Alligator mississippiensis: one gene and its partners. The protein of the gene in region 1 interacts with the protein of each later gene in a biochemical or structural test. Links are inferred from orthologs where the notes say so. Each region holds a gene or a part of one and is shown in the gene's direction. Other genes may lie near its edges.

What was found.
Region 2: the proteins of GTF2E1 (region 1) and TAF6 form a complex in vitro, tested with the Homo sapiens proteins (2 studies listed by BioGRID). The link is inferred for Alligator mississippiensis from reciprocal best matches to the Homo sapiens genes GTF2E1 and TAF6.
Region 3: the proteins of GTF2E1 (region 1) and GTF2F2 form a complex in vitro, tested with the Homo sapiens proteins (2 studies listed by BioGRID). The link is inferred for Alligator mississippiensis from reciprocal best matches to the Homo sapiens genes GTF2E1 and GTF2F2.
Region 4: the proteins of GTF2E1 (region 1) and ERCC3 form a complex in vitro, tested with the Homo sapiens proteins (2 studies listed by BioGRID). The link is inferred for Alligator mississippiensis from reciprocal best matches to the Homo sapiens genes GTF2E1 and ERCC3.

What each region holds. Positions count from the first base shown.
Region 1 is NC_081824.1:253,467,883-253,474,950, forward strand, and holds the start of GTF2E1 (general transcription factor IIE subunit 1), read left to right. Parts: upstream 1-4,067; 5' UTR 4,068-4,185; intron 4,186-7,068. Other genes in the region: RABL3 (rab-like protein 3), read right to left, coding at 552-643, 3,823-3,868.
Region 2 is NC_081838.1:23,522,704-23,530,201, forward strand, and holds the start of TAF6 (transcription initiation factor TFIID subunit 6), read left to right. Parts: upstream 1-4,487; coding exon 4,488-4,721; intron 4,722-4,971; coding exon 4,972-5,145; intron 5,146-5,251; coding exon 5,252-5,338; intron 5,339-5,431; coding exon 5,432-5,585; intron 5,586-5,663; coding exon 5,664-5,720; intron 5,721-6,075; coding exon 6,076-6,195; intron 6,196-6,269; coding exon 6,270-6,412; intron 6,413-6,489; coding exon 6,490-6,567; intron 6,568-7,498. Other genes in the region: MBLAC1 (metallo-beta-lactamase domain-containing protein 1), read right to left, coding at 1,478-1,702. UniProt on the Homo sapiens protein: The TFIID basal transcription factor complex plays a major role in the initiation of RNA polymerase II (Pol II)-dependent transcription.
Region 3 is NC_081824.1:410,989,506-410,997,291, forward strand, and holds the start of GTF2F2 (general transcription factor IIF subunit 2), read left to right. Parts: upstream 1-4,786; 5' UTR 4,787-4,923; coding exon 4,924-4,989; intron 4,990-7,786. UniProt on the Homo sapiens protein: TFIIF is a general transcription initiation factor that binds to RNA polymerase II and helps to recruit it to the initiation complex in collaboration with TFIIB.
Region 4 is NC_081827.1:252,041,163-252,048,708, reverse strand, and holds the start of ERCC3 (general transcription and DNA repair factor IIH helicase subunit XPB), read left to right. Parts: upstream 1-4,545; 5' UTR 4,546-4,606; coding exon 4,607-4,625; intron 4,626-4,874; coding exon 4,875-5,146; intron 5,147-5,595; coding exon 5,596-5,832; intron 5,833-7,546. Other genes in the region: uncharacterized protein LOC132250420, read left to right, coding at 1,112-1,337. UniProt on the Homo sapiens protein: ATP-dependent 3'-5' DNA helicase/translocase. Binds dsDNA rather than ssDNA, unzipping it in a translocase rather than classical helicase activity. Component of the general transcription and DNA repair factor IIH (TFIIH) core complex.

The sequences.
Region 1 (7,068 bases):
GATTCAGAATTGACCACTTACCAAAAAGTAATAAGGATAATATCCTAGTGAGTATATATTAACTGTCACTGTGCTGTGATGCTTTGAAAGACAGATGTATCTTGGCTTCTGTAGCTGGTGACATTGTAAAGCTTAATTTGTGTAAGTAAAAATATTCAGTCTAGAGTAATAATATTTTTTTCTTAGCACTTTTCCCCCAAAGGATTCTAAAGTTTAACAGCAATGAAATGAACCTGACTTTGGGGTGGAGAGGGTCTGTCAGCTCATCACAGATAAATGAAAGAAGAGGAAATTTTACCTAAGGATGTTAGCTAAATTAAGCTATTCTTTAAGAAAACACCAGTGGTCATTTAATATTCATGAAAAATACCCAAGACTTTGGTATTTAAAAATATCATTCAAAAGACCACTCAAAACTTAATTATAGACATCTGAAAAGTGAAGGCCCAAACTAGTTCTGAATCAGATTTAAACTTGTGACCCAGAAAGCAGTGACCACAACATCAGAAATAACAACAGGAACAACACTGCAAGTCCAGAAGTTCACTTACTCGCACATCCACTGAGCAGCCCACAGTCCAAGATGGATTTCCCAACACCTGATTTTGGCACAACAGATGAACAAGTGAAGATTTCCCAACACCTGAAAGCAAACATATATTTAATTTGCATGATAGACAACACAGATCCTTACATTTGCCATTAACACCATATTTTTTGTAGGGGTGCACAGATATATTGGTCCGATATCGGATTGGTACCGATATAAAGAAAATTGGCTGTATCGGAAATCGGCCCGATGCAGCTGATAATTTGGTCGATAAATGCCAATGTGTGTGTGTAGCTGCAGCGCAGCACTCAGGCAACAAGGAGCACAGCGCAGCAGCATGGAGAGCTGCCTCCAGCTGGTAAGTTTCTTGTGGTGGAAGGGGCATTGGGGGGGGGGGGGGGGGGCGGGTGTTCTGCCACCACCACACACCTGGCACAGCCCTGGCTCAATGCCCAGCCTCCACCCATGTGCTGGGAAGGGCCGGGGCTGCACCAGGTGTGCGGTGGCACTGGGAGGGGGCTAAAGCGAAATTTGGGGTGGCTGTAGCCCCCTCCATAGCTCCCAACCCAAGCCCAGCCCTCGGTGAGAAGAGCCCAGAACAGCCTCAACTCCTGCCCGCAGGTGCAGTCCATCTGCCCTGCCCCATGCAGACCCAGGGGGCACAGGCTCCACCCCTCCGTGCCCTCCCAGGGTGCACACAGCAGTGGGAGCACCCCCCCAACAAGCCATGGCTCTGCCCCATGCCCTGTCCCAGCTGGGCAGAGGCTGCCCCTGCCCCCTCCCTCACCATGGGCATTGATCTGCACCCCCCACGCCCCTTCCCTCCCCTGCTCCCCTTCCACCACAACAGACTTACCAGCCGGAGGCAACTCTCTACACCGTATAGGAAATCTAATTGGTATTGGCTGATATGCCTCCTTAAAAATTGGATATTGGTATCGGACCCAGAAATCTCTATCGATGCACCCCTAACTTTTTGGTATGCCGTTACTAACATACCAAAAAATGGCACTACAATAATTAGTGGGTTCAAGCGATACTATTAAACCCAACATTTAAATGAATGTTCCAGCATGCAATTGCCTTAAAGAAGGTACTGATGATGGGTATGTGAGAAATACAAAAAGAGCTAACAGCATGCTGACTTTAGTTGGAAGGGTTGTATGAGGCCCATCATTTACAGAACATAAGAACTATCATTTACTGGTCAGCCCATACATCTATCTTGCCCAGTATCCTGTGTTACACAGCAAGGACTGCAGAGCCTCTTTCCTGTCCCTGGTCCAATCTCATCTCCAGGCAGAGTATCGCTGGGTACTGTCCACTGGAGCCTTGGACTTGTTTGAAGGCCAGTGGGCACTGTCTGGTGTGCTCTGCTGGGTGTCCCTCTTTGGCACACTAGCTTTAAACCTTTGATCTCACTCCTATCCCTGTTATGTCTTTAGTTGTCCCCAAAAAACAGTTGTTGCCTACCTACTGGCCTTCCTCTCTAAGGGACGCTTACAGTGTTTCTTTGAGGGTACTGCCCCATGTTCCCTAGGCAACAAGTAAGCTTGTTACACAGCAGGGATGGCAGAGTGACTTTCCTGTCCCTAGTGCAATCCCATCTCCAGGCAGAATATCACTAGGCAGTGCCCACTGGCTCCTTGGACTTGTCTGAGGGCCAATGGGTATTGTCCGGTATGCTCTGCTCAGTGTCCCCCCTTGCCACACTAGTTATTAACCTTTGACCACTCTCATTCCTGTTGTCTTTAGTTGTCCCAAGCAATTAGGTGCTGCCTTTCCAGTAGACTCTACGTTTAAGGGAGGCTAATAGTTTATTTGGTGGGAAATGCCCCATGTATCTTCTAAGGCAGCAAATAGACCTTTGTCACATAGGCAGAGGGGAGGCTGAAAGGGAGAGTGAACAAGGTGTGACTAGGGGTTTTCCCATCGCTCTCTGCTACTTGCGTCCTCCACCATTTAGGTTGTATGTCTTATTAAGTTGAAACATGGCTTATCCACCGTTATGACTGCTGCATCTAGTTTGGGGCACTACACAGGAAGAAAAGCACAGCTGAATTGCAAGGACCATGCAAGACAACTAAAGAAGTAAGTGGGCTGGCAAGGACTAAACGAGAGAAGAGTGGCAAGATGAGGGCAAGCCCCTTCAAGGAGCTGTTTTGCTGAGAGGAGGAGATGGTGACAGGTTACCCCTGAAGTATCTAAAGCCATGGCCCTCAACCTTCCCAGGCTCAAGGCCTCCCAGGAAAATGACAGCATTCAGGTCTCGCTCAATTTTGGGAAAAAAAGGAATACACAGAGGTTGTTTTAAACTGCAAGACAGAAGAGGGCGAAAACTAGATTCTACTACGCTCCTGCTTTGGATCATGTTTAAGTAGAAATGCTATCATTTCTAGCATTTAAGCTCCTTAAAGAAGTACACAACAGATCCCTTCTCCTAATGTTTCATACCAAACTGTCTCTTAATACCAGAGCTTCTGGATCAAATACAAAGGTTAGGGAAATGTCAAGTTATATCCTGTCTTTTTTAACTCTCCATTTAGGTATCATTTTAGTGCATGACTTAACCAACAAAAAGTCCTCTCAAAACTTGTATCGCTGGTCACTGGAAGCCCTCAACGGGGATGTGGCTCCAATGGGAGTTCTTGTGACAAACAGGTGAGTGTACAAACACACACACAGCCCTAAATATGCACGTGGGGTCATTGTTCATCTCTGGTCATTGCTCAGAGCACTCACAGAAGTGCCGTTTCTGTTGCACGTGTGGAGCAGGCCTGGCTGTTGCTGGGCTCTCCAGGAGTTTGACAGTGGCCTGGGTTTAGAAGAACATGTCCACGTGCTTGTCATGCCATGCTTCTCAGGCCGCAGGAAAATGACTTCACTCCCTGGTGCCCCAAAGGAGAGGTCGGCAACCTATGGCCCACAGACTTCGTCAGTCTTGCATAGGCCCAGTCCTCCAGAGCATGGGGGATGGGTTCCCGAACGAGGCTGAGCTAACTAGAGCCCGCCCCCCCCCCCCCCCGGGGGGGAGGTCCACAAAGAGGCCCAGAGCCACCTAGAGCGCCCCTCGCCCAGCGCCCCGCCCCCGCATCTACGCCCCGAGCGTGAATCGCAGCTATGGGTTCTACACCAGCTCCGCCCCCTGCTCACGTCACCGTGTGCGTCACTGCGCCCCCCTCCCCCGCCACCAATGCCCGGCGCGGGGGAGAAGGGTCCGGTACCTGCGCAGGCCTAGGGTGATAACGGGAACTCCCCCCCCAACTACTCACCGGAATCCCCCAGCACCAGCACCTTGACCCTGTCCAAAGCAGCCATCTTAGCCTGCCTAGCAACAGCCACTCAGCACGCCGCCCAATTGCGAGCTAACTCTCCACCCATTGGCTCCGCCTCTTCCGCTTTCCATTCGCCGAGGCGGGGAGGGGGCGGGATCAAAGGTGGCTATCACAGATAGCGATTGGTTCCCTCCTCCTGTCCACCCAGGATGGCGGGTGGGCGGACCTCTCCCTCTACCGTTGGCGTGCCGAATAGGCGCTTGCGTCACAGCCGTGCGACACCGCCCGCGTGCGCGGCTAGGAATTTGTGACGTGCATTGCCGGAGACGGGGGGCGCCAAGCACCACCCGGAGCCGGCAGGTCAGTCCCGCGCGCGCGGCGCCAGGCTCTCCGCTCCCGGCCTCCTGCCAGCTACTGCGCAGGCGCACCCGGAGCTTGCCCCTCCCGCCGGGCAGCGGCGGGGTCGAGGTCCGGGTCCGGCATCACGTGCCTGGCGCATGGGCCTCCCCGGCGGGCCGCACGGACCGCCCACGTGGGCGCGGGGTGGTGTCCCTCGGGCCCGTCTCCCCAGCCGCTCGAGGGGGGCAGCTGAGGAGCCAGTGGGGGGCGGAGGGGAGCGTGTCCGTTGGCAGCTGTGGGGAGAGGGGCCGAGGCGGCGCGGAGTAGTTGGGCATCTGCCTGGCCCCCGCCCCCACGCACTCTGCTCTGTGCCAGCACTGCTCGTCTGGGCCACCGTTGCCCTGGGGTGCTGCTGCTCCCTGCACAGAAACCGGGAAGGAGCCTCAGGTCCAGCCTTGCAGCTAGGGCAATCCTGGAGGCTTTTATCTTATGCAGCAGGGGGCGCGAGAGGAGCCAAGGGCAGTCCTCCTGCACTGGCTGCGGGTGCATGGGGATATTGTCCTTCTGGTCATAGACAGTAGGTCATAGTTAAACCATGTGGGCTGGAAGGGACTTCAGTAGGTCATCTAGTCCAAAGTCCTGCTCAAAGCAGGACCAGCCCTAACTAGATCATCCCAGCCAAGGCTTTGTCGAGCTGGGTCTTAAAAACTTCTAAGGATGGAGCTTCTACCACCTCTATGGGGAACCTGTTCCAGCGCTTTGCCACCGTCCTACTGAGAAAATTCTTCCTAATAGCTAACCTGAACTTCCCTTGCTGCAACTTGAGACCATTGCTCCTTGTTCTGTTGTCTGCCTAATATCTAACCCAGCGGTTTTCAACCTTTTTTGTACCAGCACCCATTTGTAAACATTGATGGCCAGTCCTGACCCAGTGCCCCCAGGCCCAAGCTCCCCAGTGTGTAGGGCAATGGGGGGCCCCAAGCAGCTCCTCGCAGGCTGGATATCTGACAGCCTGCAAGGGAAAACCCAGCGTTTCCTACATTTGTCTCCGTTTTAAAAGTTTGTTGATCCGTTTTTAAAGTTTGTTTGCAACCCTTTCATATATTCTTGCAGCCCACTTTTGGATCGTCACCCACAGGTCGAGAAACACTGATCTAACCTAAACAATCAAGAGCAGTTACCTACAGCAGAGAATACACAGGCATGCTTGCTCCTGGGTTGTCAAGGTCTGAGGCCTCTTGGGATCCCTCTTGGTGGTCTGAGGCAAGCTCTGGCCTTCCATCCCTGTGCGTTTGTGTGGAGGAGATGTAGACCATTTAGGGTCAAATGTCTGTAATTGCTGCATAAGGATCTCTTGGCTAGTTGTGGCTTGGCTTGGCTTGGCTTTGTCAGCAGTGAGTGTGCATCTCTGCCTTGCGTGTCCAGGTTCCCTTGAAAATATCCCTCAACATCTGCCTTCTTACGTACTACTTGTAGCATCATAGGAAATAGGGGTTGGAAGGGACCTCAGGAGGTCATCTAGTCCAACTCCCTGCTCAAAGCAGGGCTAGGGTTGTCACAGGGGTAGGCAATGTTTTTTGGCCGGAGTACTGAAAAACACCACAATGCCTACCTCGGAAGGTGCCGGCGTGCTGGCATGGCAGAAAAACAAAATGAGGGTAAGGGGTACATGGCAGGATGCCCTGGTTGTGCCCCTTGCCCCCCTCACCCAAAGCCCCTGCCCCCCCAGCCCTGCTGCCCCTTGCCCCCCAGCCTGGGCTCTGTGGCTGCCAGCAGCTACCCTGGCTCTGGGTAGCTGCTGGAGCCCGGGCTGCTCCCAGCAGGGCTTGCAGTGTCCCAGATGTCTGCTGGGAGCAGCCTGGGCTCCTGACTGACAGCAGCTCCCCAGACCCGGGAGGCTCCAAACAGCTTGTGCCAGGCTTTGGCATCAGCTCCACACCAGCACTTGCACCTGCATGTCAGAGTGGGCGATGGGGGAGGAGCCTGAGGCAGCTCAGCCCTGGTCTCCCGCTCCCGGCACAGAGGTAATAGCAGGGTTCCAGAGCTCTGCGCAACTGTTTGTAGCCAGCCTGGGCTCTGGGCAGCTGCAGCAAGCAGCAGGCAGGCTGCAAACAGCTGCGCCGTGCTCTACAGCTCCGGCATTAGCTCCGTGCTGGCAGTGACTGCATGCAGATCTCGGGGTGGGCTGCACTGCCCCGCTGTCTGCCCTGAGGTGCATGTGTAGTCACCACCAGCACAGAGCTGATGCCAGAGCTGTAGAGCCTGGCGTAGCTGTTTGCAGCCTGCTTGCTGCAGCCGCCCAGAGCCTGGGCTGGCTACAAACAGCTGTGTCAAGCTCCGTGCCGAGAGTGGGGGAGAGACTGGGGCTGCACTGCCTCAGGCCCCTCCCACCGCCCACTCCGACGCGTGGGTGCACGCGCCAGTGCAAAGCTGATGCCAGAGCCCGGCACGGCTGTGGGGAGCTGCTGCCAGTCGGGAGACTGGGCTGCTCGCAGCAGGCAGCTGGGATGCTGCAGCCCTGCTGGGAGCAGCCTGGGCCGGAGCTGGGGCTGGCTGTGGTGTGCCATGCTTGGCATAAGTGCCAGGGGTTGCTGACCCCTGGGTTACCATATGTCCAGTTCCAAAAAAGAGGACACCTGTCAGGGGGACACCTCACTCCCCATCCACTGCCCCCTGGCCCTGCCAGTACCCCTCAATCCTGACCTACAGCCCCCAACCTTGCTGCTGACCCACAATTCCCTCCCCCACCCTCCTGGTCATGCCAGTGCTCTTCACACTCAACCCGTGACCCTTTGGTGCTGCCAGTGCCCCACAGCCAACCCAAAAGCCACCCTACCCTATGCTCTCACTTCCAAGCCACAGTGTCCCGTCCCGTCCTCTCCTGTTCCATTCCTCCCCCCACCC
Region 2 (7,498 bases), on another chromosome or scaffold:
AGGGGCCTAGATACCTGGGGGGGCAGGGGCTGGGACCCCACATACCTGGGTTCCTGATTGGCGGGGGGTGCAAGGGGGGTAGACAACACAAGTTATGACACTGATTATTTAACAAGCTTTTCTGTTCTCAGGGCTAAGGCCCCATAAATGCCACCTTTGCCCTACAGCCCTGGGTTCAACTTGTGGACCAGGGGGAACAGGTAGGGAGGAGGCACCCACAGACAACCCAGGGGCTGGGGCCTGGGCACCCCCCCCACCAGCTGCTCCCAGAGAGCCCAGGCATCCAGGTCTCCAGCCCCCTGCTCTCACTCCTCAGCCCCTCCCACCCCAGAGAACCCAGGAGTCCGGGGTCTAGGAGCTCCAGGTGCTGTGGCCTTGAGCTGTGACCTGCCATCAAGGCCTTGGCTCGATCGATTGGGGCAGGGACCAGGGGTTTCCTGTGGAACCCAGGCATCTGGGTCTGCTCAGGTCCTGGTTACAGGGTGGAGCAGCCCCTTGAACCCTGCCCCCAGGCCCAGGGGGTGGGGGGGTGCTATCTGCACATGCAGAACGCAGGCGTCCAGGACATGCCCCAACCTGGTGGCACAGACACACATGTGGGCCCCACAGGTCCAGGACACATGCGTGTGGCCTAGCCCTCACTATCATGCTTGTGTCTGTGTCCCTAGGTCAACCCCAACCCCCTCAGGAGTCCTGGAGGCCCCCAGCCCTTTTGGCACCGAAGCAGCCCCGGATGCCTGGGTTCTCTCCCCACTCTGGCTCCTCCATTCCCAGCCTGGGAGGGACCCTCCCATCGCCACCCACCCCCTCCCCTCAGTACCCTCACAGAGACCCTGCTGCCGACCACAGCCCTCCCCCACCTCAGTGCTGCACCGCAGCCCTCCCCCCCCCCCCCCCCAAGAGAGGCAGAACAGCTCAATTCTATGGTGTTTATTTGCCGCTCAGACACCTGGGGGGTGAGAGCAGAGGGGCTGGGGGCCCAGATGCCTGGGTCCTTCTGCCATCACCCCTCTGCCCCCCCAGGCTCTTTGGCACCCCCCCCATCCCCCCGCAGTACACGGAAGGGGGCACCATGTCCAGGTACCACCACATCGGCGAAGCCGAGCACCCACTGGCGGCTGTGCTCCTGCCGCGCTGGGTCCTCGCTCAGCCCTTGCCAGGAATCCTCATCCCCATGCCGCTCGAACAGGTCCCCAGCCACCACCACAGTGCCCAGCATTGTGCCCCGCACCACCACACTGGTGTGGGCGGCCACGTGGCCCGGTGTGGCCACCACTTCCACGTGCCCAGGGTCCAGGGCATGCGGCCGACCCTCCACCAGCCCCACAGGCAGGTACTGGTCAGCGCCTGGCGCGCTGCGGTCGAAGCCCACGAGCAGCTCGGCCGCAGGGAAGAGGTTGAGGTTGCCAGCATGGTCTGAGTGGCCATGGGTGCAGACCACGTGCTTGATGTCAGCTGGTGCCAGACCCTCACCCACCAGCGCTGCCAGGAGCCGCTCGCGACCCCACGGGCCCCCTGTGTCCACCAACATGGGGAGCGGTCCCCGCAGCAGCGTCACTGTCCCGTCAGCCCGCGCACCACCATCCGGCGTGGGCTGGTGGTAGCCCTCCTGCAGCACCACCACCGTGTAAGGGCTGCCCATGATCCGCCGTGTGCCCAGCAGCGCCGTGCGCACTGAGGGTGCAGCCCCGGGGTCGGTCATGGGGGGCTGCGGGTCACGGAAGGAGGGTGGAGGCGTGGGGGAGTCAAGGGTGCAGGCCCCAGAGGTCAAAGGCTGCAGATGGATGAGACCCCTCCAGAAGCTGGAGGTCAGGGTTCCCGGCTCAGCAGATCAGAGAGGATCCCGAGGTGGATTCATGGGGGCAAGGCCTGCAGAGGTCACAGCTGGGCTGTCGTCCAGTAGGCTTGAGTAGAAGGGGCTCAAGGGACAAGGCCGCTGGAGGTCCAAGGTGACAGGGTCGTAGGTGTCTGTATGCGACTGTAACAGCACAGGAGATTAGAGTTCAAGGGTCATGTAGCTTGCTTAGGTTGGAGATCAAAGAGTGCCATGGGGGGGGGGGGCAGGGGTGAGCTTGCCGGCGCCCAAAGCAGCCCCTACATGGTCCGGACCGCCCCTAGGGTGTCCCCGAACAGTCCTGCCCCGCTCCCCCGCTTCAATGGTCTCACTCCTTTACCCCCCCCGCCCGTCACTGAATGGTTTCACCCAATACCCCGGGGGTCCTCCATCCCTTAACGGGTCCCTTTAATGGTCTGTCCCTCCCCCCCTACAATTACCGCCACGATGGTCTCGCCCAGCAGCGGAGCCCGCACACCAGAGGTACGGTCCGGGGGGGGGGGCACTCATCCTCCTCGGAAGTGACCTATAGGCGCGCCTCCTCTATACCCCGCACTGGGTGCTGCCATCTTGGAAATGGCGGCCTTCACGTAGTGGGGGCTGCCATTTTGGAAGCAGCCAATGAACGGGCGGCGGCGAGGGATAAAAAGCTTCCCAGGGGTTTTCGCGGGGCTGACCTGCGTTTTCCTTAAAGGAAGAGGGAGGGGATTTGGGAGAAGAGGTCTGAGCTGTCTCTCGCCGCTAGGGTGTGGCCTGGAAATGCCCTGTTGCCCCCAACCCTAGACATCCCTAACACAGCCACGAAGGGGTTAAAACACATGGGCTTTAATGTGGTGCCACTCGCTCCCTCCACGTGGGGAGGGGCTGGTGCTGCACCTGGGCGGGGGCAGATAGCCCCCGCCCCCCCCCCTCCCCAATAGTGCACAACCTCCTCCCACTTGCTCAGAGCTCGCTGGGGTCATGCTGCGGGCGGCATCTGTGTCTTCCTCCTCCTCCTGGTTCCCGTGGTCCCCTTTGCTCCTGGTCCAGACCTCGTCCAAGCAGGCTACAGGCAGGAAGGCCGGGGGCAAGCCCCCACAATGCAGCTGAGTCTGGGGCATAGCCAGCACCAGCACTAGGGCAGGCAGGGGCTGCGGGTCCGGCAGGGCAGGGGGTTGTTTACCCACGTCCCTGGCCCCCGGCACATGGCCCTCGCAGAGGAACTTCCTCAGCAGCCGCTTCTGGTGTTGGAAGTACCAGTCCTCCAGCGGCTCCTCATAGCACTCCAGCATCACCTCGCACTGCAGGGGGGGCTCACAGAAGCTGTAAGAGCCCCCCTCCCTGGGCCTCCACTCCTGGCCCACAGCCCCTGCCCCACCAGCCCTGCCAGGGCCCCCACTGCCAACCCACAGCCCCCCACTAGGCCTGACCTGCTGCTTCAGCTGAGTGACCTCCACCGAGGGCTCATCCCACAGCTCTGGGGGGGACGCCCCGGTCCACCTTCACCCCCTTGTGCACCAGGTTGCGCAGGGTGCTCATGGTCTGGCTCTGGCTCTGGCCCTGGGGAAGGGGTTGGGAAGGTCTGAGGCGCCAGGGAGGGAACCCAGGCCCCGCTGCCCTCGCAGAAGGGGGAAACCGGCTGACCTTAGCGTAGCGCAGGCTCCCAGGGCACTCGGTGTGGATGCTGTATTGCAGCAGCCACTCACAGACACTCTCCAGCGCCTCGGCCAGATGCGTCTTCCTGGGGCAGGAGAAAGAAAAAGGGGGCAAGGAGCTGGGGAGAGGCAGACCTAGAAGGGGGGGGGGAACCCCACTGGAACTTTTCAGGGTCCTGCCCCTCCCCCCACCAAGGCCCCTGTCCCTGAGCCAGGAGGGAACCCAGGTGCCCGCGCTCCCGTTGCGCTCACCCCTGAGGAGCCCCGGCGTCCCGATGGCACTCGCAAGACGCTGTAGCGGACACCGACCCGAGTCCAGCACCTCTGCAGAGCGGGCGCTGCTGGCCAGCACTGCCTCCAGCTCCAGGCTCAGATACTTGCAGTCTGCGAAAGGCAGCGGTCAGAACCCTCGCCAGCACCCCTGCCCGGCCGGCATCCACCCCGCGGGGCCTGCCCTCCAGCTCTGCCCCCTCTGCCCAGGCCATAGAGGGCGTATGGACCATCTGTAATGCCCTATGGGGCCTCTCCTCCTGCCCAGGTCTGTATAGCCCCATATGGACTGCCTTTAGCACCCTATGGGGCCTCCCCTCCAGTCCAGGTCCATACTTTCGTATCAGACCCAGTGGCCTGTGACACTGCCCAGCCCCGCCTACCAGGCCCTATAGACCTGTATGGACCACAGCAGCTCCCCTCCCTGTGCATGCAGTGGAGGCCCCTGCTCTGCTGCCACAGCCTGGCATATGTCCCCCGCCCCTTATAGCCGCTGCCTGGTCCCTATAGCCGCATATGGCACCTTTAAGTGCCCCGCCTCTTTACCTTCACACAGGGTGGGCGCCCCCGCCCGTGCCCCGAACAACAGCGCCAACAGAGGGAGCCCCAGCGCCCCCATGGCAACTCTGGAAAATGCGGCCCCTTTAAGAGGGAGCTGGCATCGAGCATGCGCACTCTCAGCCACAGAAGGGTGAAGCAGAGTGCATGCGGAGAACTGCGGGCAAGGAACGTAGGGTAGAGAGTGACAAATGGAGCATTACGCATGCGCAGCGATAGTGATGAGGCTTCAACTGGTAGGATGGCGCATGCGTAGTGAGGTTTTGGTTCCTACAGTTGCTTTGTGCGTGCGCAGTGTGGCTGCAAGTCCTGGCAGGGTGGTAGTGAGCGGCGAGTCGCTGGGGGCGGGGCTAGGACGGCGGCGGGGCGCGAGGCGCCCGCGTGAGCTTGGGGGCGCCCTGTGCGTGGGGGGGCAGCTCCTGGGGGTGAGGGTCACATGGGGGGAGGGTGGTGACGTGGGGGGTTTCCATAGAGGGAGGGGAGTCCCTGGGGGTGGGATCATGTGGGGGGGTTCCTATGGAGGGAGGAGAGTGACGTGGGAGGGGGTTCCTGTGGGGTGGGGGGGACCTGGGGGGGGCACCCTAGGATGGGGATCCCCGAGGGGTGGGGGAACCCCCGGGCAAGGGCAGCTCTGGGGGTCCCTGCACCCCCCCAACATGGCCCTGTGCCCCCCAGGTGCCCCCCCCCGGCAGGATGGCGGAGGAGAAGAAGCCAAAGCTGAGCCAGACGCTGCTGCCTGGTGACTCCATGAAGGTGGTGGCCGAGTCCATGGGGCTGGCGCAGGTGCCTGAGGAGGCTGCACAGCTGCTGGCTGACGAGGTCAGCTACCGTCTCAAGGAGATTGCACAGGTACCTTTGCTTCCCCCCCCCCACCCCTTACACCTCACCCCACACCCCAGAGCCAGCTGCCTCCAGCCCTGTGAGTGCCTAACCCCCCCTGTCTGCACCTCCCCAGGACGCCGTGAAGTTCATGCACATGGGGCGGCGCCGCAAGCTGACAACCAGCGACATCGACTATGCACTCAAGCTCAAGAACGTGGAGGTGCCGGGGGACAGCCTCAGGGCTGACGGGGGTGCCCTGGGGGCGGTGCTCGGTGCCCCCAGCTGACCCCCAACCCCTGCCCCTGCCTTGCAGCCGCTGTATGGGTTCCAGGCACAAGAGTTCCTGCCTTTCCGCTTCGCCAGTGGAGGTGGGCGCGAGCTCTACTTCTATGACGAGCGCGAGGTTGAGCTCAGTGACATCATCAACACACCGCTGCCCCGCGTGCCCCTGGACGTGTGCCTCAAGGGTGAGCCCTGGCCCCCAACCCCTGGCCCCCCCGACCTAGAGCTCCTCTGACCCTATCCATTTGTCCATCTCTCCGCAGCTCATTGGCTCAGCATCGAGGGCGTCCAGCCGGCCATCCCTGAGAACCCACCCCCCGGTGAGTCAAGGACCCAGGCATCTGGGAGAACCCCCCTTCCACTTCTCAATACCCTCCCCACCTGCCTTGTACTGACCTAGATGCACAGATGTGGCTAACAAGGGGTTAACAGGCCCTGTTCTATTCAGTCAACATCCCGCCTCAGAGCCAGCTGCATCAGGCCCCATTCTGCCCACCGCAGAGTTGGCTGCATCCAGGCCTCATTCTACCCAGCCTGGTGCCCACCCCAGAGCCAGCCGCACCCATTACACCCAGAGAATGTTTCATCCCAGAGCCAGCTGCATTTGTTACTCCCAGGCAACATCCCACCCCAGAGCCAGCCTCACACCGATTTCCAATCCCCCTTCCCCCACAGCCCCCAAGGAACAGCAGAAGACCGAGGCCACAGAGCCCCTGAAGGCCGCAAAGCCGGGGCAGGACGACGATGGGGCCCTGAAGGGCAAGGGCCAGAGCGCAGCCGCCCCCGACGCCAAGGGTCAGTGCGAGGGACCCGGGAACGGGAGGCACAGCATGGGCAAGGCCTGGCTGACCCTGCCCCCTGCTCCCCAGGCAAAGAGAAGAAGGGAGGGTTGCTGGAGGGCGCGGCACTGCGCCTGAAGCCGCGCAGCATCCACGAGCTCTCAGTGGAGCAGCAGCTTTACTACAAGGAGATCACAGAGGCCTGCGTGGGTTCCTGCGAGGCTAAGCGTGCTGTGAGTGCTCCCCCCTGGATCCCTGGACCCCGTCCCCGGGGCCCAGGACCACCCCCAGCCTGACTGTGCTCCCCCAGGAGGCCCTGCAGAGCATCGCCACAGACCCTGGGCTCTACCAGATGCTGCCACGCTTCAGCACCTTCATCTCCGAGGGGGTGAGTGTGGGCTGTTTCACCCCAAAGCTGGGTGCATTGGGCATGGGTCAGCCCAGCATCCACCCCAGAGCCGGCTGCCTTTGGGGTGGTCTGTTATATCCAGTCTGTAACGCCCCAGCCCAGAGGTGGCTTCATGTCAGCTCTCTGTTATACTGTGCTGTCAACATCTCACCCCAGAGGTGGCTGTCTTTCAGTTGTTTGTTATATTTGGCTGTTAATGTTGCACCCCAGCCAGCTGCATCTCGGCTTTCTGTTATACTGGGTTGTCATTGTTTCACCCCAGACATGGTTGTTTGCATTTCAGGTTTCTGTTCTACACAGCCCCTGATGCTGCCCCCAGAGCCAGCTGCCTTTGGGGGGGGGCCCTGTTATACCCTGCAACACCTGTACTGCAGAGCCTGCTGCATCTCAGCTCTCTGTTATACTTGGCTGTCGCTGCTTTACCCCAGAGGTGGCTGTATTTCAGCTGCTTGTTATACTTGGTTGTTAATGTTGCACCCCAGAGCCAGCCACAGTGGGGATTGGTTTACCCAGTGTCTGCCTCGGAGACAGCTGTCTTTGGCTGTCCCTGTTATCCATTCTGCAGCACCCCCCCACCCACTCCAGAGCCACCTGCATCTCAGCACTCTCTTATACTTGGCTACCCCTGATGCTCCCCAGCCCAAAACCGCTGCCTTTGGAGGTTCCTGTTATACCCAGGCCCCAGAACCCCCACTGCACAGGTGGCTGAATCTCAGCTGCTGGTTATACTGGGCTGTTAATGCTTCACCCCATAGATGGCTGCATGTCAGGTCCCTGTTATATGCAGCCCCTTATGCTCCTCTTCAGAGCCAACTGCCTTTGGGGGTTCTTGGTATATTCAGCCCACAACACCCCACCCCAGAGATAATTGCATTTAAGGTGCTTGTTATTACCAGCCTGAAACATGTCC
Region 3 (7,786 bases), about 160 Mb from region 1:
AGAATTAAATTGAACCATCTTTCAGCTGAACCCTGAAGGATTAGGAAAAAGGAATCCTAGGAAATGTAAGGCTTGCTTCTGTAGGGGCAAGGAGCTTTGAGGCCATTGTTAGGAAATTAAAATTTCATTGTGTGCCCCCCAAGTTCTAGTATTGTGAAAGACAATAAATAGTAAGTTCCTATTTACTTTCTCCATGCTGTTCATGGTTTTATAGACCTTTATCACCACCCGCTCAGTCATCTTTTCTCTGTCTTGCCTGTTTAGTCTCTCTTTAGTCTCTCCTTATGCAGAAGCTTCTCTAAGCTACTGATCATCCTTCCTGTCCTTTTCTGTATGTACCTTTCTACTTCTAGGATATCCTTTTGGAGGCAGGGGTACCAGAATAGCATGCAGTATTCACGAATGTGGGCATACCAGAGATTTCTACAGTGACATTTTTTGGTTTGTTTTGGATCCGTTCCTTAATAATTCCCAACATTCTTCTGCTTGCCTTTTTGACTGGGCTGTTTTCAGAGAACTATCCACAGTAATTCCAAGATCTCTTTCCTAAGTATTAACAGCTAATATAGAGCCCCTCATCCTGTATGTGCATCTCAGGTTATTTTTCCCCAGGTGCATCACTTTGCACTTATCAGCATTGATGTCCGTGGCTCTAGGGAAGCATGAAGCAGTTGTAATCAAGGGCAAACCTCCGACTGACTTCACTAGGACAACACCAGGCCTTAAATGTCTAGATGACAGTGCTGTTATTCTTCAGCCAATAGCTCGCACCTATAATTGACAAAGGAAAGCCCTTCTCAGCTGCTTACTACAGTGCAATCATGATTGCACTCAGCTGAGTGAATAAAAAAAGTTCAGTAAAAGAGTCTGTAATTTAAAACCTTGTAGTTTATTTCTCTTGACTTAACAACAGTTTTCACACAACAAGATAAAAAATAGAAACTAACATTCAGCTTCAGCTCTCAGCTACTGGCCTCTGAGATTCTTCCTCCATGGAACTGAATATTGGAATGGAAAACAGAACGTTAGGAGTTTAAATTAGGAATTAATGACAATTCTTCTTACCTTGTTGCCCCTTTTAATTTAGTTTCCATGGAAACAGGACTGGAAAGGCTGCCTGTAGCAAGTCACTAAGAGGAAAAAAAGTCTGCCTTGTCTCTTTTAGCTCTCAAGTACCAGCTGAGCCAGTGAAATTACTAGATTTTTAAATGTTTTCCTTTTTTTTTTTTAACTCTGACTAAGAGTCATGATTTCTTGCTGGACAAGTCTCAGGTTGGACAATTATGTTGGCTACAAGTGTATTTCAGTGATTCAGATTTATATTCCTCTTTTCTAATTAGTAGTTTTATGGTGTATGGCCTGCGGGCCAAATCTGGCGCATGGAGAAATTTATTTAGCCCATAGGGCTGGGCAGCTTTGGTGTCATTTTGATGGTGAGGGTCTTTGCCAGGGTGGTGTGGAGAAGCAGCAGCAGCAGCACCACCACCACATGGGGAATGGGACTGTAGCTATGGTTGTGTGGACTGAGTCAGAAGCCGCTCAAGCTTGGAGTTAAGTTTGGTTAAGATGTCCCCCTGCTGCCAACGTTCCTGACCCCTGGTGTAAGCAACATTTATTAGAATTAATGGCACAAGGTTATCTAAAATTTTATGTGTGTTGAAAAAAATATATCCATCCCCTTTTTTATTTTTTAGGTAGGGACAGGCTTGGTTTGAGTATATGGACTGAGCTAAAACTGTAAGTAAGGAGAACCGGCTCCACCATTCATTCATTTATGTAGTCTTGGAAAATCATATTGGGCTCCAATCTTGCAAGGTACAAGCTCCTCTTACAAACACCTTACTAGTTATAAATTGCTTGTTGTATCACAGTCCCTGATGTTCTGTTCTCTCCTTTAAAATGGAGGAGTCTATCGGGCCAATCCTGCACGATACAGAGCTCTGTTTGAGTGCTGAACACCCTTGATTCTCATTGGCTTTATACAGAAGCATCCACACAAAGGTTTAGACCAGAATAAGTCAAATAGTAAAATACAAATTAGTTCCAGTTTTCAGGTGAATAAATACTTGAAGTCACTTGCAGAATTGTAATGTTTGGGCACCATACTCTGCAGGGACTATTTCTTTGGTAAATACACTTGTCACATTTTGTCTTAATTCAGGGAAACATCTCTCTCATGTTCCAGTGAAAACTTCTAGTAATCGAATCTAAATTTGGGGCTAAAACTGAAAGGGCAGTGCAAGCTTCATTCTAGTCACTTGGCCAGATTGTGTAGACACATGCAGTGATAATGTTACGGTGGTGCACTAGTTCCAGCCCAAGTTCCAGACAGTATGAGAGAACCAGGATTTGTTCTGTAATAGCCTTGATTGTGCCAACTGTATAGTTGGGAGAGATGGTATGTATGCTTTTGGGCACAATATGCCCTTCCTCAAATCATAGGCATTTTGTGCCTTAGAGTTTATCTCGTACTTCTCCTAACTCCCTGGTGCTCAACCTCTGGCCAGATAAGGCCCACAGATACGTTGTTAGGCCTGGCTGCCCTGTGGCCCCCTGCCTGATCTGTCACTTGGATTTTGGATGCCCTGCTCTGACCTGTGGGTCTCTTAATGGTTCCAGAAATTTGGCAGGGAGAGTGTGGTGGCAGCATTAATCGCTGCTTCCCTGTCTCCATTCCTGGAGCTGTAGGGGAGTCCTGTGGTCCAGATAGCGGGGCCCAGTGTATCGGTGCATGGGGGTCACTCTGTGGCTGGATCTGGAGTGTGAAGTCGCTGTCATGCCAGGCAATGGGCAGCCAGGTCTGAGGGTCACCTCAGGCTCAGGAAAAGCCAGAAACTAGATCTGTCCAGGGAACGGAGCTGGGGATCCAGAGAGTCAGGCAGAGCACAAGGACAGGAAGCTAGCTGGGTCAGATGCCTGGGAGGTCAGGCCAGACTTGGGTCTGGTATTGGGGAAGCCAGGAAGAGAGCAAGGGCATGAAGCCGGTTAGGCATCCAGGAGTTCAGGCCAGAGCAGACTAGACTAGACTATCCCCTAGATCAGGGTTGTCAACCAGGGATATGCATACCCCCAGGGGTACCTGAGATGGCCCTAGGGGGTATACATGGGCATGCGGAGATGGAGCACTGCCATGCACCATCCTGCACTGCCTTGCAGGCACCACTTGCCTGGCGACACATGGGGGACAGAGGAAGCTCGCATGTGACGGCTACTGCCGCTCTGTGTCCGGCCGTGCGCCACCCCCACCCCCCTGCTTCCTGTCCAGCTGTGTGCCACCCCCCCCGCCCCACCCCTTGTCCAGCCTCACACCTCCACACCCCACCCATCTCCACACCCAGCCGCCAGGGTACACTGTGGGGCTGTGCGAAGCTTCGGGCGCTGATTCAATTCGGAGGAGATTCGGCTCGATTCAGCAGCCAAATCTCCAAATCCAAACTGAATCCCCCATCCCCAGCCTGCTCCCCCAGCCCTCCTGACCCCTGCCTGCTCCCCCAGCCCCCCCATGGCTTCCCTGCCTGCCCCAGCTCCTGGCCCTTTAAAGAAAAGCCCTAGTGCTCACGGGGTGCTGCCGGGCAAAGGGGCAATCCCCGCTGCCCCCCACTGCCCCACTCTGTATGGGGGGCCGTGCCATGAGCCCCCCCCCAACCCTCCCCGCTCCCCCAGCCCCGCCATGGACACCCCACCAGGCACAGCTCCAGCCCATTAAGAAAAAAAAATGAGAAAAGTCCTGGGACTCTCCGCTCCTACAACGGCCTCTGGGCTTTGGAGGGCTTGTGGAAGAGCCCCCCACGTGGCACGGGGTGCAGTGGGGATCACCCCCCTGCCCAACAGCACCCACTGAGTTGGGGCTTTTTTGTTTCAAGTGCCAGGAGCTGGGGCAGGTGGAGCAGCCATTGCTGGGCTGGGAGAGTGGGCGGCGGATGGGCCTGGCTGATTTAGAGATTCGGCCGAATAGATTCAGGGCAGCGATTTGAATTACCAAATCGAATCACTGTCCCCCAAATTGGCCGAATCCAAATCCGAAGCAAATACTAGCCGCTTTCTTTGCATAGGCCTAGTACACTGCTTGATGTCCAGCCACCAGGGCTACACTGATCAAAACCACTGAAAACCCCTGCCTTAGATCAATGGTTCTCAACCTTTTTTTGTACCAGGACCTATTTGTAAACATTGATGGCCAGTCCTGACCCTGTGCCCCTCACTCCCAACCCACTGCCCCCCCCCAACCCCAGCCCCCCCAGTGTGTGGGGAAGGGGGGCCCCAAGCAGTCCCTTGCAGGCTGGAGCTCTGCCAGCCTGCAAGGGGAAACCCTGCTTCCCAGGCTTTTCTCCTTTCAAAGACAATCCATTTTTAAAGTTTGTTCACAGCCTTCATATATTCTTGCGACCCACTTCGAGGTCATGACTCAGGGGTTGACTGTTCTCACTCGTGACAGGTGACAGAACGAGGGGCAATGGTCTTAAATTGCAGCAAGGGAGGTTTAGGTTGGATATTAGGAAAAACTTGTCTGCCTGTGTCCTTGTCCCAACACCAGAGCCCATCGCCGTGCGGAACAGTGGCTCACAGGGAAAGGGCAGCCCATTCTAGCGGAGCAGAGCAAAGGCCGCCCTCATCCCCTGTGCGGCTTCTGGGTGGGGGCTGGGGGCGGGGCATCAGGACGCACAAGTCCCCTGGCCCCGCCCCGTCTTACGTCACGGCGCCCCCCTGCAGTCACGGCCGGGGAATCCCCGGGAGACTCCTTCCCCCACCCCTCCCCGCTCCACTTTGCTGCAGGCACGGAAAGTTTGGCCGGCGCGGGCCGCCGTAGTCCGGTGAAGTTCCTTCCGGGGTTGCAGACAGCAGCCCTCGCGCGCGTGCGCAGCAGCGGCGGCGGCGTCTCGAGTTTGTCCCGCGCGTCCCCTGCCCCCCCCAGTCGCCGCCGCCATGAGCGACAAGGGGGAGCTGGACCTGACCGGGGCCAAGCAGAACACGGGCATGTGGCTGGTCAAGGTGAGAACCAGCGGGGGCTCTCAGGGCCACTGCGATCCCGGTTCCGGTCCCTGTCCCTGCCCCTGCCCCATCAGCCGCTCGACTTTCGGCTGCCCTGCCTGCTCCCCCTTCCCTCCCCTTTTCCCGATCGGCTGCTCGGCTTTCTCCGCTGGGCTTTTGCCTGGTCTTCTTTGGCCCAATCCGTGCCTCCCGCTGACCCATCGACCGCTCGGCTTTCGGCTGCTTTGTCCTGCCCTGCGTCCCCCGCCCGATCCGCTGCTCTGTCCCTGCCTCGTGTTCCCCTTCCCTGATCTGTTGCTCGACTTTCGGCTGTTCTGCCCTGGCGGTCCCCCAGTCCCGTCTCGTTCCCCCCCTCCCCCTCCCCGCGATCAGACACTCAGTTTTCGGCTACTCTGCCTTGCCCTGTGTCCTCCTGTCTGGATCCTGGTTTTCTCTGATTGAAAAAACAATCCCCATTTTTTGGATTTAAAGTAACCCAAAATCCACTTTTTTCCCTGATTAGCATGAACCATCACTATGTTTGTGTGTGCATATAAATAAAGGTATAGAAATATCCAGAGAGAGAGAGAGAGATCCATATAGATATATGGATATAAGTGATGCTTCATTTTAATTATGAAAAAATGTGGATTTTTTTGTGTTACATTTTTAATTCCAAAAATTGGGGATTTGTTTTAAATCGGAGAAAACGAGGATCCCTGCTGATCAGCCACTTGGCTTTCAGTGCGCTGCCTGGCACCCCCTGCCCCCTCCCCTGATCTGCCTGTGTCCTTTGTGTTGCACCCCCACCACCCGCTTTGATGGTGCTGAGCTATGGTAGATGTGCTGCAGCCTTGTAATCTTAAAACTTTTTTTAGGCAAGTCAACCTTAGGGAGCTCGTCATTTTTACCAGTGCTGTTTTACACAGGCTAGAACAGCGTTTCTCAACCCATGGGTTGCGACTCAGAAGTGGATCTCAATAATATATGAAAGGGTCATGGGCACACTTTAAAAATAGATACTTCTTTAAAGGAGAAAAACATGGCAAATGGTGGCTTTTCTGTTGCAGGCTGGCAATTTCCTCAAATATCACCTCCTGCTCCACACACTGTGGGGCTGGGACCTGGAGACAGAGGTAGTGGGCCGATAGTGAGGGGCCCTGGGCTGGGACTGGCCATTGATATGTGTTTAAAAATGAGTCCTGCTACAAAAAAGGCTGAGAACCACCTGGCTAGAAGGTGGCATGATGGTCAAAACACACAAGTCCTGTTACATTTTCTACTATTGCTGAATTGGATGTGAATTACAGAGCTAGCATTTGCTAAAATCGAGGAACTGTAGCAGTGAGCACCTGGCTTTGTCTTAGGTGTGCTTAGTGTTTGAACTGTATATGAAACTCGGAGGGAAGACTTCTGTAACTAATTTCCCCCACATAAGAATCACAAAGTTAGATGGTATCTAATGATGTTTTGGCAAACACCTGTCACACTAAGCTAAAAGAGTCTCTGGAAATAAGACAATGCTTTCATAGTTGGTAGGTCTGGAAGGGACCTGAGCAGATCATCAAGTCTGACCCCCTGCTATGGGCGGGAAAGGATCCTGGAGTCAAATGACCCCAGCAAGGTGTCTAGCCTCCTTTTAAAGACCCCCAGGTTAGAAGCAAGCACCACTTCCATTGGAAGTTGGTTCCACATTGTAGCTGTCCTGACTGTGAAGTTGTGCCTCCTGATATCTAGCCTGAATCTACTCTCTGTCAACTTATGGCTGTTATTCCTTGTTACTCCCAGTAATGCTCAGGGGAACAGGGACTCTCCCATTGCCTGCTGGTCTCCCTTGGCCAGTTTATAGATGGCCACCAGATCTCCTCTCAGCCTTCTCTTGTGGAGGCTGAACAGGTTCAGGTCTCGTAGCCTCTCCTCATAGGGCCTGCCCTGCTGCACCCCGATCATGTGAGTGGCCTTCCTCTGGACCCTCTTGATGCTGTCCATATCCCTCCTGAAGTGCGGCGCCCAGAACTTAACGCAGTACTCCAACTGTGGCCTGACCAATGTCATATAGAGGAGGAGGATCACCTCCTTGGACCTGGTCGTGATATATCTGTGGATGCATGACAAGGCGCAGTTAGGCTTCCTGACTGCATCCCTACATTGGCAACCCATGTTCATCTTGGAGTCTATAGTGACTTCAAGATCCTTCTCTGCCTCTGTGCTGACAAGAAGGGAATTCCCCAGCATGTAGGTATGCTGTTGGTTCTTTCTCCCTAGGTGCAGTACCCTGCACTTGGGATTCAATACTGACATCTTATTCCGATCTGCCCACCTCTGCAACCTGTTCAGATCCAGTTGCAGCCTGTCCCTCCCTTCTAGCGTGCCCTCTTCTTCCCACATCTTAGTGTCATCTGCAAATTTGAACAAGGTGCTTTTCACCCCCTTGTCCAAGTTGCTGATGAAGATGTTGAACAGTGCGGGCCCAAGGACTGAGCCCCGGGGTACCCCATTGCCCACATCCCTCCATGTCGAAAATGACCTATCCACCACCACTCTCTGGGTGCGGCCTTCCAGCCAATTGGTGACCCATTTGACTGTGTAGGCATCAACATCACAATCTCCTAATTTTTTAACAAGAATGGGGTGAGAGACAGTGTCGAACGCCTTCCTAAAGTCCAGAAATACTACGTCCACCATGACACCTGCATCCAAGGATTTTGTGACCTGGTCATAGAAGGCCACCAGGTTGGTCTGACAGGACCTGCCTCTAATGAACCCATGTTGGTTGCCCCTAAGCATACACTCCCCTGCTTGCCTCTCGCAGATGTAC
Region 4 (7,546 bases), on another chromosome or scaffold:
TGTATACCTAAGCTTTTTTTTTTCTAAGTAGTTGCAGCATCCAGAGCAGTTTGATGCATTTTGATCCTTACTATTTTTTTAAATAACACTGACCTAGTAGCAAGTAGATTTCTCTATGGTTTGCTGATACTCAAAAATGCTAACGTGTGAAATGATTATATAAACCCTATTCCTCCCCAGGGGATACGGAATACGCAGTGAAGTACGATTTCTTAACTCAAACTCCTCCATTTTGCATTGTTATTCAGATACTTATAACAAAGAGTTAGCTTCCGGGGCTTGTAGAAAAGAGTTGCCTTGCATATACAGATAGCTCTCCTGTACTACAGAGTTTAGAAATCAGCCTTTGCGTAAAATTAAGCAGTTGATTTTGAAGGTCTACCCTTTCTTGCAATCTCTGATAATGACCTCGTCGCCACAGAAGTCCTTTGCCCTTAGCTAAGCGGGGAGGGTCACTGCCTACTGGAATGTGTTTTGCATATATAATGTTCAGCGTTAAAGAGCTTTTTAATACACTGCAGTAAGCATTGGCACGTTGAATGCTGTAGTGTTAAATAATATACTGTTAAAAGAAACAAAGCAGCAAGGACACTTTCAATTCAGACAAACCAATCTGATGTATATGTCCTAACTAGTCTTCTCTGGGTCAAGAACCATGACATTCAATTCTTTTGGTCCCACCCCAGGGTGTTCAGCAGGTCTTCAGAGGCAGAGTTCTTGGGCTGCGTAGTGCTCCTACCACCTAGCCAAACTCTGAGTCTGAGCTAGTGGCACTGACACTAGACGCTGAAACTGCCCCTGAAATTCAGATTTAATTCCGTCTCTACCCCTTACTGGAAAGTAAGACGGCAGCCTGCTGTCTAGATCAACACCCTCTGCTGAGATGATGGTTGTTGAGTTAGTTGGCAGGTGGAGCAGAATATCTGCTGTGATCTTCTATGTGTTGTGTGCGCTTGTGCACAAGAACGGGGGATCGGTGTACTTCCGTTGGAATCGCAGTGCAGCGGGAAGTGGACAGCGGTCTGCAGTAGTTGCCACGTGGTAATTCTTACTGCTGCAGAAAAGTCGGAGCCTGTTGTAACCTGCTGTTTCACATTTGCTTCTGTTTCAGGAGCGTAGGTTGTACCGTGGTAGAAATGCTCACTGAGAAACCCCCGTGGGCAGAGTTTGAAGCAATGGCTGCCATATTTAAAATTGGCACCGAGCCAACAAACCCACAGCTGCCACATGACGTCTCGCACCACGCTCAGGATTTCCTGAAGTGGATTTTTATTGAGGCCAAGCTGCGACCATCTGCAGATGAACTGCTAAGGCACACATTTGCACATTATCACTGACAGCCTGCCTCAGCCCAGCTTGCATCTACTGCATTTATTTTCTAAGAAAGCAGACAAGAGTAGAAAAACCTGCTGCCAAGACTTCTGAGAAGACTCCAGGCAAGAGCCCTTCAAAAAGTCCAGCAAAGTCACCTCAAAGAAGTCCTTCCAGATCAATACGATTGCTATTTACAATATAAGTACATTTAATGTAGCTATATTACTCATCTATAATTGATTGAGTACATAATTCTGGGGTATTTTTGGGTAAGATAGGGCATCAGGCCTGGGTTCAGGAACCAATCCCCCATTTATAACATTGTTTCTTGTGAGAAAATTGGTTCTGAGTTGCAATGTTTCGACTTAAAACGTGGTTTTCAGGAACCAATTTTGTCCTAAGTCCAAGGACCGCCTGCATTTAGAAGAAGGATCTTTTCCCCCCTACCAGGACCAGAACCGTTTTATTTCTACCGTGTACTGATGTGGTCGTATTACAGATCCCCACCAGGCCTGTGTGAAAGGGTTATGTTTCGTTTTGATTTTGGCGTTTCGGAGGGACAGTGATTCATTTCGGTGTTTTGGATCACTGTCTCGTTTCGGCTCAGCTGAATCAGTTGTGGAGTTTCAAGGGTGTTTTGGCCATAGGCTATAATGGGGAATCACGAACATGCCTGTAACCTTGTCATTTCTTGTCTGATTCAGATGAAAATCGCAGGGATGCTAGCCCCTTCTGAGGGCATGAAGGGAGGTAGGTGCAGGGTTTTTTTGTGAAACTGCACCTCAAACTGTTCAAATCAAAACTAGTATCAGTTGTTGGCAGTGGCAGCCTGCTGTCATCCCGCACGCGGATTCGGGGTCTCGCCTTCCCCCCCGCAAGAGTCTGACAGCCCCCGCATCTTTCTGGAGGGACGCGGGTCTCTGGATCTGTGTGCAGGATGACGGCAGGCTGCTGCTGCTGGCTGAGGCCAGCACCGGTACTCGGCCCTTCCTGGCACTCGGCGCAGGATGCACCAAACAGACTCAAGTGCTGATATTGGTCTCAGCCGGCAGCGGCAGCCTGCCGTCATCTACACGCTCCACAGCCAGTGGATCTTTTGTTAGACCAGTAGTTGGAAAAGTATTTATGAACTTGTTTTTTAAGATACTATGTTTAGCTGGTATAATTATAGTTTCATAGTAGCTAGGGTCAGGAGGGACCTGACCAGATCACCTAGCCTGACCCCCTGCCACAGGCAGGAATGAACGCTGGGTTCACAAGACCCCAGACAGGTGATCGTCCAACCTCCTCTTGAATTTGCCCAAGGTAGGGGCGAGGACCACTTCCCTGGGAAGTTGGTTCCAGATTTTGGCCACCCTAACTGTAAAATATTGCTTTCTGCTCTCCAACCTAAACCTATCCTCCATCAGCTTGTGACCACTGTTCCTCGTCACCCCAGGTGGTGCTGGGGAGAAAAGGGCTCTGCCTATTTGCTGTTGATCCCCCTGATGAGTTTGTAGGCAGCCACCAGGTCCCCCCTTAGCTTCCTCTTGTGGAGGCTGAACAGGTCCAGGTCCCTCCATCTCTCCTCGTAGGGCCTGTCCTGCTGCCCCTGATCATGCAGGTGGCCTCCTCTGAACCCTCTCCATGCTGTCCACATCCCTCCTGAAGTGCGGCGCCCAGAACTGGACGCAGTACTCAGCTGCGGCCTGACCAGTGTCGCATAGAGGGGGAGCATCACCTCTCTGGACCGGCTTGAGATGCACCTTTGGATGCATGACAAGGTCTGGCTGGCCTTGCTGGCTGCGGTCTGGCATTGGCGGCTCATGTTCATCTTGGAGTCAGTAATGACTCCGAGATCCCTCTGTGCTTTCAAGAGGGGAACTCCCCAGCCTGTATTAAATACATAAAAGCTTTGAAAGATAATTTACTAGATAAGTATATTTTCAGCTGGCTGATGATCAGAAACTATTTTTTTAATTTTGTTTTTAACCATTCAGAATGTATTTGTATTTCCAAGAGTGGACACACGTTGTTGTATTGTATTTTCAGGTACCCCTTGGATGGACAACTGTGATTTCTTTTGTATGAATTTTTGTAATAAAAAGTGCTGAATCCATCAGAGAAAGGGGCTCTGAATTGCCTGGTACGATGTGGTTTCTTCCACATTTCATGCACATTTTGACTTGGTTATGATCTCAAATTTGTGCTTGTAAAAATGTATAAACTTTTTTTTGTTTTTTTAATTCCTATGTATTTACCCATTTTATTTTGTTTGGGAGGTTTTGTACCTCATGTCAAGGAAGCCACGTTTCCATTTTGTTTGACCAGTGACTATCTGAGATCCGTGTGTTGTGGGGGCGCAGCCTCGTCGCGGCTGACGGCGCGTGGAGACCTGCAGGAATTAGCACGAGGGAAGATGGCTTTTTCTTCCTTCCACCTCCATTCATTTCAGAAAGGTCCCGGGGCTGTGGTTTGGGGGATGCGACTGAACAAACCGCCGAACGACGACGGATAACGGCACTCCGAGCGTTCGTAAAACAATACTTCTTTCCAGTAGACTCCCCTTCCTTTATTGGGTGACGGTTTTTCAAGAAAACCAATTTTTCACCACGTCTTGTCCTGGGCCGCGCCGCGCCGCGCCGCCGTCCCAAGGAGGGGAGCGGAAAGGGGCTGCGCAGGACGCGGGAGCCTTTTCTGAGCTGTCACCCGTGAAGTCAGCGCGGCGGGGGCTGTGTTTGCATGTGTACAACACAGGCGCGCCCCGTTCGCGAGGCAGGAAGCAACGCTCTTCTGGCGGGACGAAGCCAGACTCGCGGCAGGCGTGACCCCCTTCCCTTCGCGCAACGAGCTGTTTGCAAACCAGCATCCCTGATGCGTTGGGGGGTTTGTCAACTGGAGGTGCCAGGTCCCGGCTGCACCCACGGCGCAGGGCGTCGCAGCAGGGTCTGCAAGGATGTGGGACGGGGGGTTTTCCATTTCTGCGCTGCTCAAGTGCCTGCTGAAACCTCACCGGTGCCGGCCAGCCCCCCCCGCAGCTCTCCTGATTGGACGGGACCCCCTCCCAGGCGCAGAAACAGCTCGTATCGTATTTCTTGCACAGAGCGCGCACTCCCGTTTCCACGTGCGCGTCGCGTGCAAGAATGCGGTAATTCCAGCGAGGAGACGTCAGCCGCTGGGAACGGGGCGGGGCGGGGCGGGGCCGCCTTCGGCGCAGGCGCGGTGCGCGCCGCTTCCGCCTTCCGGGGCTCCCGGAAGTGACGCGCCGGAGGAGCGGGGCGCGATGGCGGCGGGGCGCTGAGGGGCGGCGGACATGGGCCGCAGGGAGCGCGGTGCGTGAGTGTGTAATGACAGCGTGCGCGCGTCAAAGACAATGTGTGTGAAAGGGTGTGCGTGTGAACAAGCGCGTGCCTGCGTGTGTGTGAGAGTGCACGCGCACGTGCCCATGTCTGAATGAGACGGAGGTGCGAGGCGCGTGCGGGTGCCGTCGCGCTGTGTCTGTGTCTGCGTGCGCGCGCGCGCACGCACACCCCTGTGTCTCCTGCCGCGCCTCTCCTGACCCTCCTGGCCTTTGCTTGCAGACAGGAAGAAGTCCAAGAAGCGTCACTACGACGACGAGGACGATGAGGACGATGACGCTCCCGGCAAGGAGTCGCAGGAAGCCGTCCCGTCGGCGGCGGGGAAGCAGGTGGAAGAGGCCGTGGTCAAAGACGAGTACGGCGCGAAGGATTACCGGCTGCAGATGCTGCTCAAGGGCGACCACGGCTCGCGCCCGCTCTGGGTGGTGAGCGCCGCCGGGCAGCCGGCTTCCTCCTCCTGTTTTGTGGCGGCGGGGCGCGGTGTCGTGTCCGGGGTAACTCTACGAACGGCTTTTAAACCGGGGGGTGGTTTGGGTCATCCTGAACGAGGGGCTGACGGAGGTCGCGCGGCGCGCTGGGAGGGGCTGCGCTTTCCTTCCCAGGCGAGGGTCGAGAGCGAATGATTTGGGGTTCGTAAAAGCAGTCGCTTGATTCCCTGCGTTGGGGAGAGCCGTCCTGTTCGACAGGCTCTCTACAAAGGGAGGTGCGTTACGTGGAACCGGTCAGCGGGTAAGATGAACGTGGTCTCGCTTTTAACCTTGGTTTGCGTCCGTCCGCGTGGAGCGCTCTTCGCGGCTGGTCTGACCCTCGCCCGCCCTTGCTGCTAGCTATGGAGCAGCGCTTGCCGTTGCACCGCGAACCGCTCGTACTCGGGATAGAAAGGGATCTCCGTCTTTCACCCGCAGCATTATCCAGTTGGCATCTTTTTCGTCTTCTCTCTCAGGCTCCCGACGGCCACATTTTCCTTGAAGCCTTTTCTCCCGTTTACAAATACGCGCAGGACTTTTTGGTCGCTATCGCAGAACCCGTGTGTCGACCAAGCCACATACACGAGTACAAGCTGACTGCGTACTCGCTTTATGCCGCTGTCAGTGTCGGTCTGCAGACGAGCGACATCACGGAGTATTTGCAGAAGCTGAGCAAGACCGGCGTCCCCGATGGAATAGTGCAGTTTATCAAGGTAAGGCCACGACTCGTTTCCCCTTTTCTATCTATTATTCGCTGCTGTGTAAATACAGGTATTACCTTTTTTAAAGTAGGTTTGATGCAGTCTCTGACACAAGAATGCATGTGTACACACACACACACACACACACACACACGTGCACACCGTGAGGCATAAAATGGCAAGTATCTTGCTGGGATCCTATGACCCCAGCTGACTTCCTGCCCCTTGGGTGGGGGGCTGGACTCGATGATCTTCCGAGGTCCCTTCCAGCCTTAATGTCTATGAAGTCTGAAATCTATGAAGTAAAAAGGTCAGATCCTGTAGCCACTGCTCATATGAATAACTTAACCAAGGTCAGTATAACCGTCTGGCCCACGGCGTGGAATCATCCTTGCTGTGGGCAATAACCCTTCACCCTGGCAGAAACCACAAAGCTGAACTATTAAATGACATCTCGAGTCATTAAATGACAAAGCTGAACTATTAAATGACATCTCGAGTCGTTAAATGACAAAGCCGAACCAATAAATGACTTCTGTTTGAGTGCTCAGTGCGATTGAAGAGCAGCGGTAAGACTGTACTGTTAAAATCAGTACAAAGTCATGCCAAAGCGCAGGTTTCAGCGGGTGCATCGACACGTCTCTGGTGCACGCTCTTTGTGCGTTTTGAAAAATATTTTTTAATCGGCAGCAATATCGTAAGGTAAGATGCATGTAGACCAAAAAAGCAGTAGAAAATAGTCAATCGGGAATTAGGAACATTAATATAAAAAAGCTTTACAATAAGCAGGAATAAGTGGCAGAAATAATGGTTGTTCAGTTAACCTTATTATCAGTCTTAGGTTTGCATTAATGAAGCAGGATGCAGTTAAATTCTGATATTATGACACGATAATGCTATAATTGATTTGCTGGAGATAGTCCTCTGGGGGAGAGAGGCCTTTTTTCCTTCAGTGGGAACTTAACATTTGTAGATTATCGCAGACCAAAGCCAGAACTGGACTTCAGTGACTCTTTCATGATTCCTTTTTCTCCTTTTCTGTGAACTATATGGTACTGAAGTGATCTTTGTGCCTTGATCTCTGCTGCTCCTACATTGAGAATGTCCTTTCTATGTGAGCTGACGTCTTTTTCAAGCCCCATGTGTTATCTGATGCGTGCAAAAAATTGCCCAACTAATGATTTACATGTTGAGGCCAACGTATTTGACAGATCTCAATACATAGTCACCTTTTCACTTGTTCATCATTAGAGCATCTAGTCTCTGTGGGCAGCATCTACTCAATAGCTTTAATGGAGGTGTTTGCATTACCTTCTGCTTTGTGAATAGGGCAGCAGCACCCGCCTGCTGGTCCTGCAAGGATTGTTTTTAATTAGAGCAGGCATGATCAGACCTGTTATCAGCCAAGGACACAGCCTCTCTGGGTGCTGGCTTTAGGGCAGAAGTTCCTGGAGGACATCATGGGAGTGGTGTTGTGGTTTATGGACGAGCTGCTAATTGAACAGGCTGCCACAGATGCTAGACACGCAGGAAGCTGGGACTGCTGATCTAGGATCCTGACTGCTAGAGCCTGGGACACCCGAGTTCCCTGCTCTTCCTAAATTGGGGGTGTGAAGGCTTTCTCAGATTTCCCAAAGCACCTGCTTTTTGCAATTAAGTAAGTTAGAATTTAACCCAGAGTGGGATGCAAAACCCCTTGGAGAGCTCTTGTCTTTGCTAGTCAGCT